Caenorhabditis elegans: one gene and its partners. The protein of the gene in region 1 purifies or fractionates together with the protein of each later gene. This does not show direct contact. Each region holds a gene or a part of one and is shown in the gene's direction. Other genes may lie near its edges. The genes, in order: kin-3, icp-1 and zen-4.

Evidence for each region.
Region 2: the proteins of kin-3 (region 1) and icp-1 purify together in Caenorhabditis elegans (affinity purification with mass spectrometry, with the first as the bait; one study listed by BioGRID). This does not show direct contact.
Region 3: the proteins of kin-3 (region 1) and zen-4 purify together in Caenorhabditis elegans (affinity purification with mass spectrometry, with the first as the bait; one study listed by BioGRID). This does not show direct contact.

The regions. Positions count from the first base shown.
Region 1 is NC_003279.8:10,732,407-10,737,158, forward strand, and holds kin-3 (Casein kinase II subunit alpha), read left to right. Parts: upstream 1-1,615; 5' UTR 1,616-1,632; coding exon 1,633-1,671; intron 1,672-1,736; exon of another isoform or gene 1,737-1,850; intron 1,851-1,914; coding exon 1,915-2,085; intron 2,086-2,144; coding exon 2,145-2,272; intron 2,273-2,321; coding exon 2,322-2,406; intron 2,407-2,465; coding exon 2,466-2,762; intron 2,763-3,219; coding exon 3,220-3,344; intron 3,345-3,399; coding exon 3,400-3,481; intron 3,482-3,678; coding exon 3,679-3,834; 3' UTR 3,835-4,209; downstream 4,210-4,752. Other genes in the region: mrpl-9 (Large ribosomal subunit protein bL9m), read right to left, coding at 232-387, 435-758, 807-931, 982-1,147, 1,193-1,252; nfs-1 (cysteine desulfurase), read left to right, coding at 4,343-4,411. UniProt on the Caenorhabditis elegans protein: Casein kinases are operationally defined by their preferential utilization of acidic proteins such as caseins as substrates. The alpha chain contains the catalytic site. May participate in Wnt signaling.
Region 2 is NC_003279.8:2,304,002-2,308,821, reverse strand, and holds icp-1 (Inner centromere protein ARK-binding domain-containing protein), read left to right. Parts: upstream 1-2,031; 5' UTR 2,032-2,035; coding exon 2,036-2,119; intron 2,120-2,166; coding exon 2,167-2,352; intron 2,353-2,402; coding exon 2,403-3,191; intron 3,192-3,242; coding exon 3,243-3,923; intron 3,924-3,977; coding exon 3,978-4,106; 3' UTR 4,107-4,309; downstream 4,310-4,820. Other genes in the region: Y39G10AR.9 (WD_REPEATS_REGION domain-containing protein), read right to left, coding at 40-227, 281-860, 932-1,286, 1,330-1,418, 1,508-1,555; tpxl-1 (TPX2 domain-containing protein), read left to right, coding at 4,430-4,574, 4,623-4,820.
Region 3 is NC_003282.8:6,116,160-6,122,339, forward strand, and holds zen-4 (Kinesin-like protein), read left to right. Parts: upstream 1-2,055; 5' UTR 2,056-2,064; coding exon 2,065-2,507; intron 2,508-2,553; coding exon 2,554-2,802; intron 2,803-2,844; coding exon 2,845-3,150; intron 3,151-3,204; coding exon 3,205-3,454; intron 3,455-3,506; coding exon 3,507-3,689; intron 3,690-3,734; coding exon 3,735-4,457; intron 4,458-4,513; coding exon 4,514-4,600; coding exon of another isoform or gene 4,601-4,684; exon of another isoform or gene 4,685-4,740; coding exon 4,741-4,863; 3' UTR 4,864-4,938; exon of another isoform or gene 4,939-5,184; coding exon of another isoform or gene 5,185-5,277; 3' UTR 5,278-5,618; downstream 5,619-6,180. Other genes in the region: M03D4.4 (C2H2-type domain-containing protein), read right to left, coding at 5,961-6,065.

The DNA.
Region 1 (4,752 bases):
AGCACCTTTGTATGAACTCTGTAGAATGTGAGAAATAAAATTAAATTTAAAACAGTTTGACGAATAAATGAAGGAAGATATTAAACGGTGATTAAACCGTGAGCAAATAAATTAAAAATTATTTGAAGAATCAAATACAAATAAAATCGATTTTTTTCAAACAACAAAACAAGAATAACAAAAATAAAGAATTGAAACACATTAAATCTAGTCTGATTGATTATTAGAATTCTAATGTGGAGTTGTTGGTGCATGCTCTTTCATGTGCTCGAAAATTGGGAAATCTTCCGTGAAATCGTTATTTTTACTGTACAATGGGAACTCTTTTCGGATGGAATATCGAGCCAATTCCTCGTCACGTGGTGTTGTCAGTGTAGGAGAAATCATCTGAAAAAGGGAAATTCAATAATTTTCTACAACTTTTCAATCTTTACCTGTTTGGATTCATCTACTGAAATATGTGTAATCCTTCCTAACATAGGAACAATGTATTGTTGATTTACAACAACGTAGAATCGGAATAGTTTTGCTTCGATATCAAAATTCGGGCCAGAAATTGGTTTAGCGGCGAGGAAAATTGTATTTTCAGCAACGAAAACTCCCATTTGACGAAGTGAGCTTTTTACAAGATTCCTATCAATCGTCCATTGATTTTCCATATTAACTTTGATTGGAATGACCATTTTTTGCAAATCTCGTCCAACCACTTTGAGCTCATATGGAATTCTGATTCGAGAAGCAAGTTCTTCAGCCATTCGCTGAAATTATTATTTGATTGAAAAATATAAATTAACATTAAAACCCACTGTTTTCATATCTGAATAGTACTTTAAATCAAACGGCGACGCGTAGACGGCTTTTTTAGATAATAGTAAATCCTTTCGGGCCAAAGTCCGATCCACACTAACCACATCGAACTGATGGCCAATTCCTGTAAAAATGAATTTTTTACATTTGCTTTCTTTTATTTTAAAAAACTACCTTCAACATCTTGAAGTAAAATCACATTAATCGGACCAGCGGATTTTTGTGTTTCGAACTCAACAACTTCGTATTTCTGGTAATCGTGGAAATCATTGGGATTTTTCTGTACTCCGCCGGGCGGTGTGACTTCTGGTTGGAATACTCGGCGCAATACCCATGTGTTCTGAAGAAAAACATAAAATAACTTATTAATTGCTTCAGAACTTACTCGGCTTGCCTGGCGATTAATATGTTGCACAAATCGATGAAGCTGTGAAGCTGAAAGCATAATTACCTGAAAATATCAATTTTAATTAAGTGTTTCGCTGAAAATAAAGTGATTTCATTCTAAAATACAGAAATAGATGAGAAAAGAAAATGCGCGCCGTTGTCGATGATGACAAATTTAAAGGCACACCGACTTTCGCAGCGGGAATATCTCACCACGCACGAGTTCACATTTGGTTTTTTCTCTGCGCTCTCTCGCATTTGCGTACTCTTTTCATGTTCTGGCATGTATTTTCAAAATTATTCGGGTTTTATCAGTTTTCCCGAGATTTTACTATTTCTACTGAAAATTTCGTTCTAATAATTCAATTATAACAGCCGTTTTGTCAAAACTTGCTCAAAAATAACGTGTTACTTGTTTCAGATCGTTATTCTTGGGAAATGCCTCCGATTCCTAGCCGGGCGAGGGTCTACGCCGAGGTGAGCAAGTTTGTATAGCCAGGAGTTAATTATTGAACAGAATATATTGCTCATACATAACTCACAATGACGGAATTAACGTTATCCGTTTAGTTGTGGAATACTGTGAAACACTGTACGCCACATTTGTTAGATTTTATAAATGTTCATAGGAATTTATAGTCTCGTAAAGAAAAACTATTTGTAAAAGTCACTAAATTATGTTTTTATGAGTTTATATATTATAAATCACAATTGTTTCAGGTGAATCCGTCGAGACCACGCGAGTACTGGGACTATGAGGCTCACATGATCGAATGGGGACAAATCGATGATTATCAGCTGGTACGCAAGTTGGGACGTGGAAAATATTCGGAGGTTTTTGAAGGATTCAAGATGAGCACTGACGAGAAAGTTGTTGTCAAGATTCTCAAGGTAAGTTTTACAAAAATAATTGTAATAAAGCTTTCAAAATGTAATTTGTTTGTTTTCAGCCAGTCAAAAAGAAGAAGATCAAGCGTGAGATTAAAATTTTGGAGAATCTTCGTGGCGGGACAAACATCATCACCCTCCTCGACGTCGTCAAGGATCCTATTTCGAGAACTCCGGCTCTTATTTTCGAGTTGGTTTACTATTTGAAGATTTTTAGAATTAATAATTTCTATTTGAAGGCATGTTAACAATTCGGACTTCAAGCAATTGTATCAAACCCTCAGTGACTATGATATCCGTTACTACCTCTACGAGCTCTTGAAGGTACTTTTTTCAGCTGTCCATTAATTTTTGAATTCATAACGTTTCAATTTATTCTCCAGGCTCTCGACTTCTGCCATTCTCAAGGAATTATGCACAGAGATGTTAAGCCGCACAATGTGATGATTGACGCCGAAAAACGGGAACTTCGATTAATAGATTGGGGATTAGCCGAATTCTATCATCCAAGACAGGACTATAATGTTCGTGTTGCTTCTAGATATTTCAAGGGACCCGAGCTTCTTGTCGATTATCAATGTTACGATTATTCGTTGGATATGTGGAGTTTGGGATGCATGTTGGCTAGTATGATCTTCAGGAAGGAACCATTCTTCCACGGCCATGATAACTACGATCAGGTAAGCACTTTAAGCTGAAGTAGCAAAGAACCGCAAATCCACAAATTTCATTAAAATCCAATATTGGAATATAGAAAACATTTGATTTATCTGATTATGGCTTTTATTTCAGTGAGAACAATGGGGAAAAACGCTTAAAAAATTACCGGAAAGTTTAAAATTTCCGAAAAAAACCGAAAATTTTCCAATTTTGAGCATTTTTCAATTGTTCCAGCTGCAAAAAACTATTTTCAGATAAAGAAATTATTTTTTTGAATTCCATAGCTAAAATTTTACTGATAAGTTTGGCTTATTCCGTAGAATTTCTTGCCGGCGATTGATTCGCACCCCTGAGCTGAAATTTAAATGAATAAATAATATTGTCAGGTATTTATTAAATATTCATCAATAATTTTTATGATTTTTAATATTTTATAAATTCACGAAATCTGATTTTCTTATAAAAAGTTTTTTGCAGCTAGTCCGCATTGCAAAGGTATTGGGAACTGATGAGCTTTACGAGTACATTGCGAGATATCACATTGATCTCGATCCACGCTTCAACGATATTCTCGGGCGACACTCAAGAAAACGCTGGGAAAGGTATATTTTGATCGAAGCGAAGTTTCATGTTTTTCTTAAAATTCATTTGTTGTAGATTTATCCACGCTGAAAATCAACATCTTGTCACCCCAGAGGCTCTTGATTTCCTTGATAAACTTCTTCGCTACGATCACGCGGTAAGAATCGGAAAAAAGAGAAATTACACCAAATTAGTTACTGAAAACCAGTTTTAACAAGAACACAGAGAAATAAAAACAATTTTCACTTGTTTTATTGAAAAAAAAGACATTTGATACTCGAAACTAACTATAAATACTTTTATTTGTTAAATTAATTTATTTCCAGAACTTTTAATAAATTTCACCATATTCAGGAACGCCTAACTGCTCAAGAGGCCATGGGTCACGAATACTTCCGCCCAGTTGTTGAAGCACATGCTCGTGCCAATGGAACTGAACAAGCTGACGGACAGGGTGCATCGAATTCCGCTTCTTCTCAATCCTCCGATGCCAAAATTGACGGCGCTTAAAATTTCTTTCTATTTTTTTTTTAATTTTCCTGTTGACTATTTCCTTTTTTATTAATTTCCACACCACTCCTCTCCATCATTATTCCTTTGCTCTAAAAATTGGCTAAGATATTAAATCTTCCCCGCTTCTCCGAAAATTTCCCTCTACGTACCACAAAAGTGCCTAATCTTTTCGTGAGAAACGTTCTTTGCAAATTCTATTTTTAGGATTTTTTTGTGTAATTCATGCCTCTGAAATTCCGTTTCAATTTTAAATCTTTTTTGTCCCATTTCATATTGTTCTCCTTCTTCTCCCCTTTCCTCTTCCTCAAACAACCACAATCATCATTTTTATAAATCGAATCACAGTTCGTGAGAAAAAAAACTGTTACTTGTAATCAATATTGTCTTTGGTTTGAAAAACCTACTATTGTTCCTATGTTGAGTTGTGAACTATGTTCACTTTTAGAGTTTTAGATTTAAAATGCTCAACGGACGAGTGCTCCTTCGATCGATTGCTCGCCGGACAATGGCATCGAAAATTGAGCCAGGATCTCCGCAGCCGATTTATTTGGATGTTCAGGCTACCGCGCCAATGGTAATTAAATGGAAATAATAAAGCATGATTAAAAATAATATAAAAAACTTGTATCTGGAAAAAATTAACGAAACTTTTCAGATACAATTTAGATTTCGAATGAGTTTTTTTCTAACCTAGGCACAGTTTAAGCTAGTAGGCATTCTAAAATTGCGGCTTATGGCCTAAAAAGGGCCTAAGCGAACAAAACCAGCAATAAATTATGATAATTATATGAAAACTGATTTACGACAGCGCTGCGACACTGAAAATATGACATTTTACAATACTTTGAACCCATATAATATTTTTTTTTTTATTTTTCATAAATTTTCAGAACATTTCATTGCGAAATTCAGTAG
Region 2 (4,820 bases), 8.4 Mb from region 1:
AATAATAGTTAAACATAAGAAATATATAATAATACTCAATTACAAGCTCCATTGCGCCTTGTAAGTTCGAATTTTGCCATCACGACAACATGTATAAATATTCTTCTGATAAATCGCCATATCGTACACCGGCTCACAATCGGCACCGGTTAGCTCGTACTCGGCGGAGATGATGCTTGACGAGGTGGGAAGGGAAAGGATCGGAAAGGCGAGAACATTTCCGGTGGCTGAAAATTAATTTATTTTTTAAATATAAAGTTTGAAGCTCATATTTTCTCACTGAATGATGCAATTAGTCGATTGCAATAGTATTTGAGGCAGGTGACGCTTCCTTTTTTGGTGACAATTTCCCCGATTAACCGGCGATCCGACACGTTATAGGCCGCCACGTGGCCATCCTCAAACCCGACGAACACCGCTTTTCCACCTTCATCTCCGGAAAAACAGAGAGCCGTAGGAACGGAAGGAAGCTGAATATCACGCCGAATCTTGTCGCCGTGCAGATCAATCGCTGATAGGAAATTGTTTTCGCAGATGACAGCGAATCTCGAGTCATCCACTGACATTGCCATGTCAATGCATTTTCCCTTCTCGAAGCTCCATGTTTCGGTTGGCGCAGCATTTTTGCAGCTCCAAAATCGTACTGTTCCGTCGTTGGAGCACGAGAGGAACTCTCGTCCAACTCCGATGATCCCGAAGCCTGTTACTGCCTTTGTGTGCCCGACGAACGTCTTCTGAGCCGGCACTTTATCCACTGCCCATACTCTGATCGCCATATCCATTCCACCGCCAATAACGACGAGACCCGACGGGAAATACATGCAGCGGTAGATGTCCATAGTGTGGCCGGTGAGTTCTGTCTGAAAATTATTAAATTTTCAGGTGAAAATCATCAAAATTTTGCGCTAAAATATTGTTTTTAAAGACCCACTAGAGTCTCGGCAGTTCTCGAATTCGCAATGATCAGCTTTCCGCTCGAATCAGCTGCAACAAAAGTGCTTCCGGTACATGAAACGTCGAACGAGCGCGGCGCTGATTGTAGCCCTCGGAGGTTCTGCTCACTGGTAGGACCGACGAAAATTGTGGTTCTCCCTTGGAAAGTGACATGTAGATTTTTATGCTCATCGAGAGAAACATCAGTGAAGTCGGAAGATTTAATTGAGCCTTCCTCTGGCATCACAGCGAATCCGTACTCATCAACAAGCTTTGTGATCTGTACTTGGAAGAATTCGGTTTTCGTAGCCTCGAATTTCTTGATTCCGAGGTAGAACTGCGAGACTGGTTCTCTGAAAAAAAAATAAATTTCCATGGAAATGTATATTAATTTACCTCAAATTGAGGTGCCAATCATGTTGAATTGAAAGCGTTTCGTCAATGTTTTTCGATGGATTTTGGGCTGTTTCAGCTTCCATTTTTATCTGGAATAATCAGTTTTAGGAGGGAAAGAATACATAAAAGCGATTTTTCTCTCTGAAAACTATTAAGAATGATAAAAGAAAATATCTACCGTAGTTTGCAAAGTCGTGCCGATGCCTTTACTACCGTTTATGGCCATGCGGCTTTGATGGTAGGTTTTCGTGGTGAGATATTTAGGATTTCGCAAAGCGGGTTTTTTTGTTTTTTAGGCGAATTTCTGGGAATTTCTTAAAGTTTTATCGTGTTTTTGAGACTACTTTCGTAATTTTTGGATGAAAAATTAAAATCTATCACTTAAAAACTCAACAATTCCCGTTATAACACTCCAATCTCGTTTAAAAACCTGTTTTTTCCTTTAAAATCTTACTTTTCTCCAACTTTGTCCAGCAGTTTCTGAATAATTTGTATAGCCGAAACATCTATTTAAACATCTTTGTTTTTGTCGAATGAGGCGCTTGGCAACCCTGCTCTATTGTACACCCTACTATGTTTGCGCACGCGCGGGAATCGTTTCCATTCGAATTGTCAGCCCTCCCATTGTTTTCCCGCTCGTTTTTCGACTTTTGTTCATCTTTTCGAAAATTTTACAGAGTTTAAATCAGTTTTTTTTTCCAGAAAGATGCCACCAAAAAAGCGCGCAGTCTCGCGAAAGCCAGCCGAGCCCACCATCAAACTGTTTTCGAGTATCCCGAAAATTTCGTCGGTTTGTGTTTATGAATAATTTCTTTTGATATAAAATATTTCTTTCAGATATTCGATGAAGTAAGCGAGGCTCATGACGACGCGGCTGCAAAAGTTTTCGCAGATCTGTACAAGAGGATGTCCTCGATCACAGAAGAACTGGCCACGCCTCAATTCTCGGCGGAACAGCTATTAAATGCCGTCCTAAAACCCGGACGCATTGATGCTGAGTTTGTTGAGTTGATTTCAAGACAGGTAAGAAAATCTCAAATTTACTTTATTCCGTCAATGCTTATTTTTTTCAGAAAGCGAAACCCGCTCAACCGTCCAGTTCAAGTCACCGCGGAGATGATGATATGGAAACCGACGAAGTCGAGACAGATCAAGCAGGACCCATCACTCCACGAGCCGGCTCAGTAGCGACTGATGGTGATTTCGAAGAGGACATATTGCCAGTCACGTTGAAGCGCATGCAGCAAATGAGCATATCCAAAAAGAAGACCGAAGGAAGCATCTCACGAAATGCAGCGTACAGTGGCACTCCTCGCAGAAATCCACCGCGTGAGGCTCACAATCAAGCTACTCCGCGCAACATTTTCTCGTCAACACCTGGACGTATGGCAGGAACTCCCGGCCGTGCAGCTGTGGTTCCAAGGACGCCCCATCGTGTGATTCCGTTCAATGATGCAGAAAAAGATCCGAATGCAAGGATGAAGCATGCTGATGAGCTCCGGATGAAAGAGCTCGAGAAGAAAAGGGAGAAAGCACGGAAGGACGAGGAGAAGCGGAATGCTGTCATGGAGCGCAGAAAAGAGCAGGAAAGAGTTCGTCAGGAAAAGCTCGACCAGTTGAAGCAAAAGGAAGAGCGTAATGCTAATTTGGCGAAACTTCACAACAGTGCAAAGTCGCCAACAAGAGCTCGTTTGATGCAAGACCATGCTCCAAACAAGGCTGCAAGTAGAAAAATCTTCCCAACGGCGGAAAGCACATCCACTCCTGGTCGAGGCCCTGCTAAGAAGGGAAAAGTTGAGATTCTAATTGGCTCAGATGGACAGAAGACTGCTCCTGTGGCTCAGCCGACCGTTGAACTATCGGTGAGTATTTACTTGATTGTATTTTCCTAATAATAATTTAACTCATTTCAGCCTTCCCGAGAATTGCAACGAAACGGTAGCCGGCAAGTCAAAATGGAGCCGATGAGCTGTGATGATTCAACTCCACCGGCGCGTCAACATAAACCAAAGGCGAAAGCGACGAAACGATCGGCCCACGCAGCTTCGTCTTCTACATCAAATGTTGAAGCTGCTGCCGCACTTGCCGCTCTTCAGGAACAGCAACGTATTCAGCTGGAACAGGAGCAGTATCTGCTACAGTTAGCAGAAGATGAACGACGAAAGCGGGAGCAGAAGGAAATGAAAGAGAAAGCGGAGAAGGAGCGTCAACTCAGAGCTCGAGAAGAGCAGGAGCATTTTCTGGCCGTTCAGAGAGAAGAGCAAGCTCAGCTGGAGAAGCAAAGAGAGCGAGAAGAGGCAGAGCTCCAGGCAACACTCGCAAGATGCGCGGAGAAACAAGCTCGTCAGGAAGCTCTTCGAAAAACGCCACCACCTGCAGCCTACGAAATGACTCCGCCACGTACCTATCAAAACAACTCAAAGAATGACTATGGTTTGAACGATCTTAACAGTGATGACGAGACAGATCAAGAAGATGATCCACGCAAAGATGTCCCGGCTTGGGCCGAATTCGCAGTTGTCCGTGAGAATGTCAGAAGACATGCCATTAATCCACCATTCGACGTGGCTCAATTCTTCGGATCGATTGGAAAGGTAATTGTTTTTTTTTTCTTGCAGCTCCTTCAGTAAAAATTTAAAAATTTTCAGCCAAATCTAAAGGAAATCTTTAGTGATGCTGTCAAAGTCAAGAAGCGCGGATCGTCAGCAGTGTGGAAAAAGAGTCCATCAACGTTAAACACGTCGTCTCGCACAATTCTTCAAGACATTTCGGAATGATGTTGTACCGAAGCAGCTTACATCGCCAGGAGTCGCTCCAGCATGCGACATAATCTTTTTTCAAAAATTGTAAAATGTTTTTATATTTCGTATTGAGTTATTTTTTATTTTCAATGTTTCCCCCTTTTTAACGGAGAATACAAAAACTCCATCGGCCCTAACTTTACATTAAATTTTTTTTTCGCTGTAAATAATAATTCTTCAGCCGATTTTTATTTTATTGTTCACTCATTGATTAACGTGTTCTGAATTCACGAGTTTATTTATTTATTTATTTTTCTATCAGTTAGAATTCAAATTATCATTTATTTCTTTCTTATAGGATGAGCAAAAGTCAAACCATTCAGGAATTCGATGAGAATTTCTTCAGCAGCTTTGCTGTACCGAAAGTCAAGGACTATTCGAGATTATCGAGCTCGCCGAGCAGAGACCAGCCGTGTGAGACGTCATACTTCGAAAATCACTTTCGTAAGACTATTCAAATATTATTTTTCATAATAAAGTTTTAATTTCCAGCAAGCCTGGAATGCGACACGCCGGTCAAAATGCAACTTCCCAAGACGAAGCGGGAATCCGATGATGATCTCCCATCTCCAACTATCGATAATCTTCTTTCGTCTTCATCGGAATCCACTGTAATCAACGCAAGTCAAAATGACAACACAGAAGAGAAGCAGCAGCAACCAATCAGAGAACCACTCAAAATCGTGCCAA
Region 3 (6,180 bases), on another chromosome or scaffold:
CGTAACCTATTCCACCTCCTCAAACTTAAAAATAAAAGAAAAACAATGGAAGGAACCGTATTTCCGCATGAATTTCCTCTCCATACTCTCGCGTTTTGTTCCTTATTTAACATTTTTTTGTTTTTGAATTACCTTTGCAAAAAAAGATTGAATGGACGAGAAAAAATAAATATTCGAAGAGAAAAGTTGTGGGCGGCAGAAACCTTTTGAACTCTTCTCTTCTCATCAACACACAAAAGAATTCAAAGAATCAGTAATTAACCACCTCGTGAGTTTCCAAGTGTTTGGAGTGTGGTGATTTCTGGAGAAAATTGAGAATATTCTGTAGTTTTCCCACGAAGGGTGAAAACAAAAAATATTACGGGAACACTAAATTCTGAGAATGCGTATTGCGCATCACATTTGACGCTCAACGAAAAATTGGAGGAAGTTTAAATATCGCTGTCACAATTCGAAAATAAATTTGTTTCGAACTTTCCGCCCGTAAATCGACATTTAAAAAAATTACTGTAGTTTTCGCTACAAGACATTTTGCGCGTAAGATATGTTGCTCAATACGCATTCTCAGAATTTAGTGTGCCCGTAATAGAATGTTTAATCCTGTTTAAACGTTTCATAATTTGGGGAGCATCTTCAACAATTTGGCTTCCCCGATTCGGCTGCGCCCACTCATTGCTCCTCGCAAAAAAAAAACGAATCAAGAATTAAAATCCTGGGAACCCCATTTGATTGATGATCAGAGATATAAGAAGCTTATAAATAATTTAATGCGAGTGCAAGAATTCAGACGATTTTTGAATCTTAATGTGTCGCCCTTCTCTTTTCAGATACGTCATGACGTGATTTATCTGAAACGGAATCTTGAGTCTGAAATGGAAAACACTGAGATTTTTAAGGACGGTTTTAAAAAATAAACTTCGAAATTGCTGTGGAAAGAATTATTTTTCAACAAATTGGCACATTTTTTCCAAATTCAGAACTGCTCCGAATTCATTGCTCGCTTGGATTGAACACCAAGGATGCCCTTTTTCTGTTATTTGAATTTTTTGGCAAATACTGTTTTACTACTTGATCTTGTACTACAATTGGCTCTTTTACTACGTTTTATCTTTTACTAATGATTTTTTACTACGACTTGAAAATTAATTTTTATAGTATTATAATTCTAGAAGTAAACAAATGTAGAATATTCTAGTGAACTTCACATGTTTTCTTTGTACTGTTGGGCTACTGGCACTGTGGTATATCATGTTTTTTTTTTCTAGAAATTTATTCACTATGAAATCAGCAGAACTTATTGTGTACATTTGGCTCTTAAAAATTGATAGAGATAGAGTACACAAAGTTGACATTGACACTGACCAATTTTTAAAAATAGACAAAAACTACAAAACCAGAACCAAAACCAAGTTAATCTGGGGGAAATACAAAACCAAACTACGAAGACACTTTTTCACAAAAAGAATATAAAGTTCTATTAAAAATTAGCAAAACGAATCTTATATTGGCACCTCAACTTTTACAGATGATAATTAATTTCCTTGTTTGTAACTTATTCGTATGTTTTTTATTAATCTTCCTATGTATTATGTGTTTATTTTTATGTCTTTAAATGATTTTTATTATATCTCACTACAATCATATCCGACCTGTGCTTTGATGCGGCCACATCAGGAACTTTGAGGATTTTCATCCTTTCGGAACCCATTACAGTCTCAACTCCCCGCACTGAAGGAAGGCCCATAGCACACGGTGGCGGCGGACAAAACGCGAGCTAGCGAGTGCCACCGCAATATTACAAGAGTACCACTCTCGCTGCCTTGTGTGAGAGACGCAGACATAGGTATTAAAGGCGCATAGATTTATCTGCGTGGCTGGTCTCACTGCGCACCCTCCCCCTCCGCCGCCAGTTTGAATTCTAACCGTTCTCACATGTTTGCTTTGACTTGTTTTTGTTGATTTTTCTTCGAAATTTGTTATTTTTTCACGGTTTTTTGGAATAAAACCGTTTTTGTAAATCAATATAACAAAACTTGTTTTATTTAATTCAATTCATTTCAGAAAATGTCGTCGCGTAAACGAGGAATAACTCCATCGCGAGACCAAGTCCGCCGGAAGAAGTTATCGATTGAAGAAACCGACAGTATCGAAGTCGTTTGTCGTCTTTGTCCATATACTGGCTCGACTCCAAGTCTTATTGCAATTGATGAGGGATCTATTCAAACTGTTCTTCCACCAGCACAGTTCAGACGCGAAAACGCTCCACAAGTTGAGAAAGTGTTTAGATTTGGACGAGTTTTTTCGGAAAATGATGGACAAGCTACTGTTTTTGAGCGGACATCTGTTGATTTAATTTTAAACCTATTGAAAGGTCAGAATTCGTTGTTATTCACTTATGGAGTTACTGGATCTGGAAAAACGTATACAATGACGGGAAAACCCACTGAAACCGGCACAGGACTACTGCCGCGTACATTGGATGTAATTTTCAATAGTATTAATAATCGGTAAGCTTTTGAAACGAAAAAAGCAAATAATATTATTTTCTTCCAGAGTTGAGAAATGCATCTTCTATCCATCAGCACTGAATACATTCGAGATCCGTGCCACATTGGATGCTCACTTGAAACGCCATCAAATGGCTGCAGACCGTCTTTCCACATCACGCGAAATCACTGATCGTTACTGTGAAGCTATAAAGCTGTCAGGCTACAACGACGATATGGTTTGCTCGGTTTTCGTAACCTACGTCGAAATCTACAACAATTATTGCTACGATTTGTTGGAAGACGCCAGAAATGGGTAAGAAAAATCGAGCAATAATTGATAGTGACCCTCCGCTAGTTCCAGAGTATTGACGAAGCGTGAAATTCGTCATGATCGTCAGCAACAGATGTACGTCGACGGAGCCAAAGATGTTGAAGTCTCGTCAAGCGAGGAAGCTCTCGAAGTGTTCTGCCTTGGAGAAGAACGTCGTCGTGTATCGTCCACTCTTCTCAACAAAGATTCATCCCGTTCTCATTCCGTATTCACTATCAAATTGGTTATGGCTCCGAGAGCCTACGAGACGAAAAGCGTGTATCCAACAATGGACTCATCGCAAATTATCGTTTCGCAGTTATGTTTGGTAGATTTGGCTGGATCTGAGAGGTTTGTTTTTTTGTTGTAAACTGAAATATATATGTTTAATGAGAAAAATTTTAGAGCAAAGCGCACACAGAATGTTGGTGAACGTCTTGCGGAAGCCAACTCGATCAATCAGTCCCTCATGACTCTTCGTCAGTGTATTGAAGTACTCCGTCGTAACCAAAAGAGTTCCTCACAAAACCTTGAGCAAGTTCCATATCGCCAGTCAAAATTGACTCATTTATTCAAAAACTATCTGGAAGGAAATGGAAAAATCAGAATGGTTATTTGTGTGAATCCAAAGCCTGATGATTACGATGAAAACATGGTTCGTTCAGAATTCAAAGAATTTACTAATTATTTAAATTCGTAACTTTCAGAGTGCTCTAGCTTTCGCTGAAGAATCACAAACAATTGAAGTGAAAAAGCAAGTTGAACGAATGCCATCCGAGCGGATTCCTCATTCATTCTTCACCCAATGGAATTCTGAGCTAGATGGATCTGTTCGTATGGAGGATGATGGAAGTAGAGAAATTCCGTGCCCACCGACATTCTGTTTGACAGTAAGAATTTCACAAATTGAATGGTTTTGAACAAATTGTTTCCAGGATTGCAATGACAAAGATACGGTAGATTCCATGTATAAGTATGCTCGGAAACTTTCATCTCTTCAAAATTCATCAGAAGAGGGACCATCTTCAACTCTTCTTACTATGATTCGCCAATACATGATGGAAGCAGACTACCAGCGAGTAGAGATTGCACGTCTCAAAGATTCTCTAAACGACAAGGATGAAGAAATCAAGAAGCTTCGAGGTTTCTGCTCAAGATATAAGCGTGAGAACGCTTCGATGAAGGAACGAATTGCCTCGTGTGAGCAAGGAGAGCAAGAGAATGCTCTGGTTATGGAAAAGCTTATGGAACAAAAAATGGAGGACAGGAAGATTATTCAGTCACAGAAGAAGGCGATGAGAAATGTTCGTGGAATTATTGATAATCCATCCCCGTCTGTTGCTTCTCTTCGATCACGATTTGATCAAGAGAATGTGGCTCATCCAACAGCTCCAATCCAAACTCCACCACCGCCATATCAAACTCCAGGACGTGCTCCAGTCTTCAAAAAACGGTTAGAAGCCACTACATCGACCACTGTAATGTCTGGATCTTCAAGTGGAGGAAGTGGTCAACAGGGTTACGTTAATCCAAAATATCAAAGAAGATCCAAGTCTGCATCTCGTCTATTGGATCATCAGCCACTTCATCGAGTTCCAACAGGAACGGTTCTTCAGTCTCGTACACCGGCTAACGCCATACGGACTACTAAACCTGAGGTAGGAAAAAACATTAATAAATTCCGCAATTTTATTGTAATTCAATTGTTTTCCAGATGCATCAGTTGAACAAATCCGGAGAATACCGTCTCACGCATCAAGAAGTTGACGATGAAGGAAACATTAGCACGAATATAGTGAAGGTAAATTCCTTGGTTTCCACCCAAAAACACGCCTGTACCGTCCCGTTGTCGTTTTCCCGTGTCCTTATCACCCATCTTTCCTGATACAAAACTGTCCGTCTTTTCTTCTCACAAAGCACACACGTAACGCATTCTAACAGGCACCATCTAAACCACCAGAACTTCAACTGGAAGACTCGCAAAGCAGTTCGTATTCACCGTGTACGGATGTAAAATCGATAACGATATACTCTAATCATGATGTTGAAGAAGAAGATGAATGAGAATTATTTGAAATGAATGTTTGCTGGGGGAATGAGAAGATGAAGCTGCTCTTTTTACATTTTTATGTGTTTGTTGTATGTTTTTGATTGTTTATTGGCTATTTTAGATACTGTTTTAGTAGTGCTTGAGAAAACTGCCTGAATTTGCTTGATATATACTTTTTGAGTTAAAATTTCATGCTTAAAATTAACTAATTTAGTGCTAGTTCTATATGCATTTAATTTCAGTTTTTCATGTAATGTTTTAGGTCATATAACTTTAAAAATACATTTATTTTTGTGTTCCACTTTCTCATCTGTTGCTCATCTCGAATTTTTCAGGGAAATGTAATTCCAACAGTTTCCGGTGGCACTGCCGTGTTCTTCAACGATATCGAGAGACTCACTCACGAATCTCCGAGCACACGAAAGTAATTATAAGTGCCGTCTTTGATCTTTTTACCTCCATCCTGCTGCATTTTCATGTCAAATTTGTACCATACTCTTCAAATTTTCTCCAAATATTTATTAATTTATTATGTTTCTCATTCATAATCCCATTTTCCGAACTCGAAGAGAACTCTTGTTTTTTTGTAGACCTCACCGCATTTTTATGATCTTTCACTTCTTCGTCTTTTTCTCCTTCTACGCACAATTTTTTGATATCGATCTGAAGAACTCTGTTCATTTTTATTCCCGACGATGATTTGTGTACTAGTAAATGCTTTTGTATTTTAATTTTAATTAAACTCAAAGAATATAAAATATGAAAATAAGTTAGCTTTTATTTTCGTTCAAAAAAATGAATCTCAATAAATAAGACCCGATTTAGGTCGAGGGTTACATAGAAAATGGTGGGAAAAAGGCACGGTTTTATACAAATAATTATGATTTAATACGCGTTTTTTGATTTTTTGGTTGGTATTTCAAAAAATAATTCAATCGAAAAATAAAAAGGGATTATCATGAAAAAGAGGTCAGAAATATTGATTATCAGAGAGATTTAATTTTTTAAAATTAAAGTTAAATTGGGAAAAGCCAGGCGAGAGACAAGATCAGAAACCACGTGGTGAGAGAAATATGAGAAAAAAAAAAGAAAATCGGTGAAAATTAATTGCCTAGAGAGTATTTTTAAGATGAGTGAATACATTTACTGCATTCATCATGAACATATTATCCGGTGTTGCTGTATTTGTCAAGAAATTGGAAACATTTGCGATGATCTGAAATATACATTCGTTGAAACAGTGGAAATTTTGAAATATTTTCCGCAAGTCTGGCATGAAATTTGCAAGCGTGCCGCACCGTTTTTTTCAAAAATTGCTATTAACTTTCTTC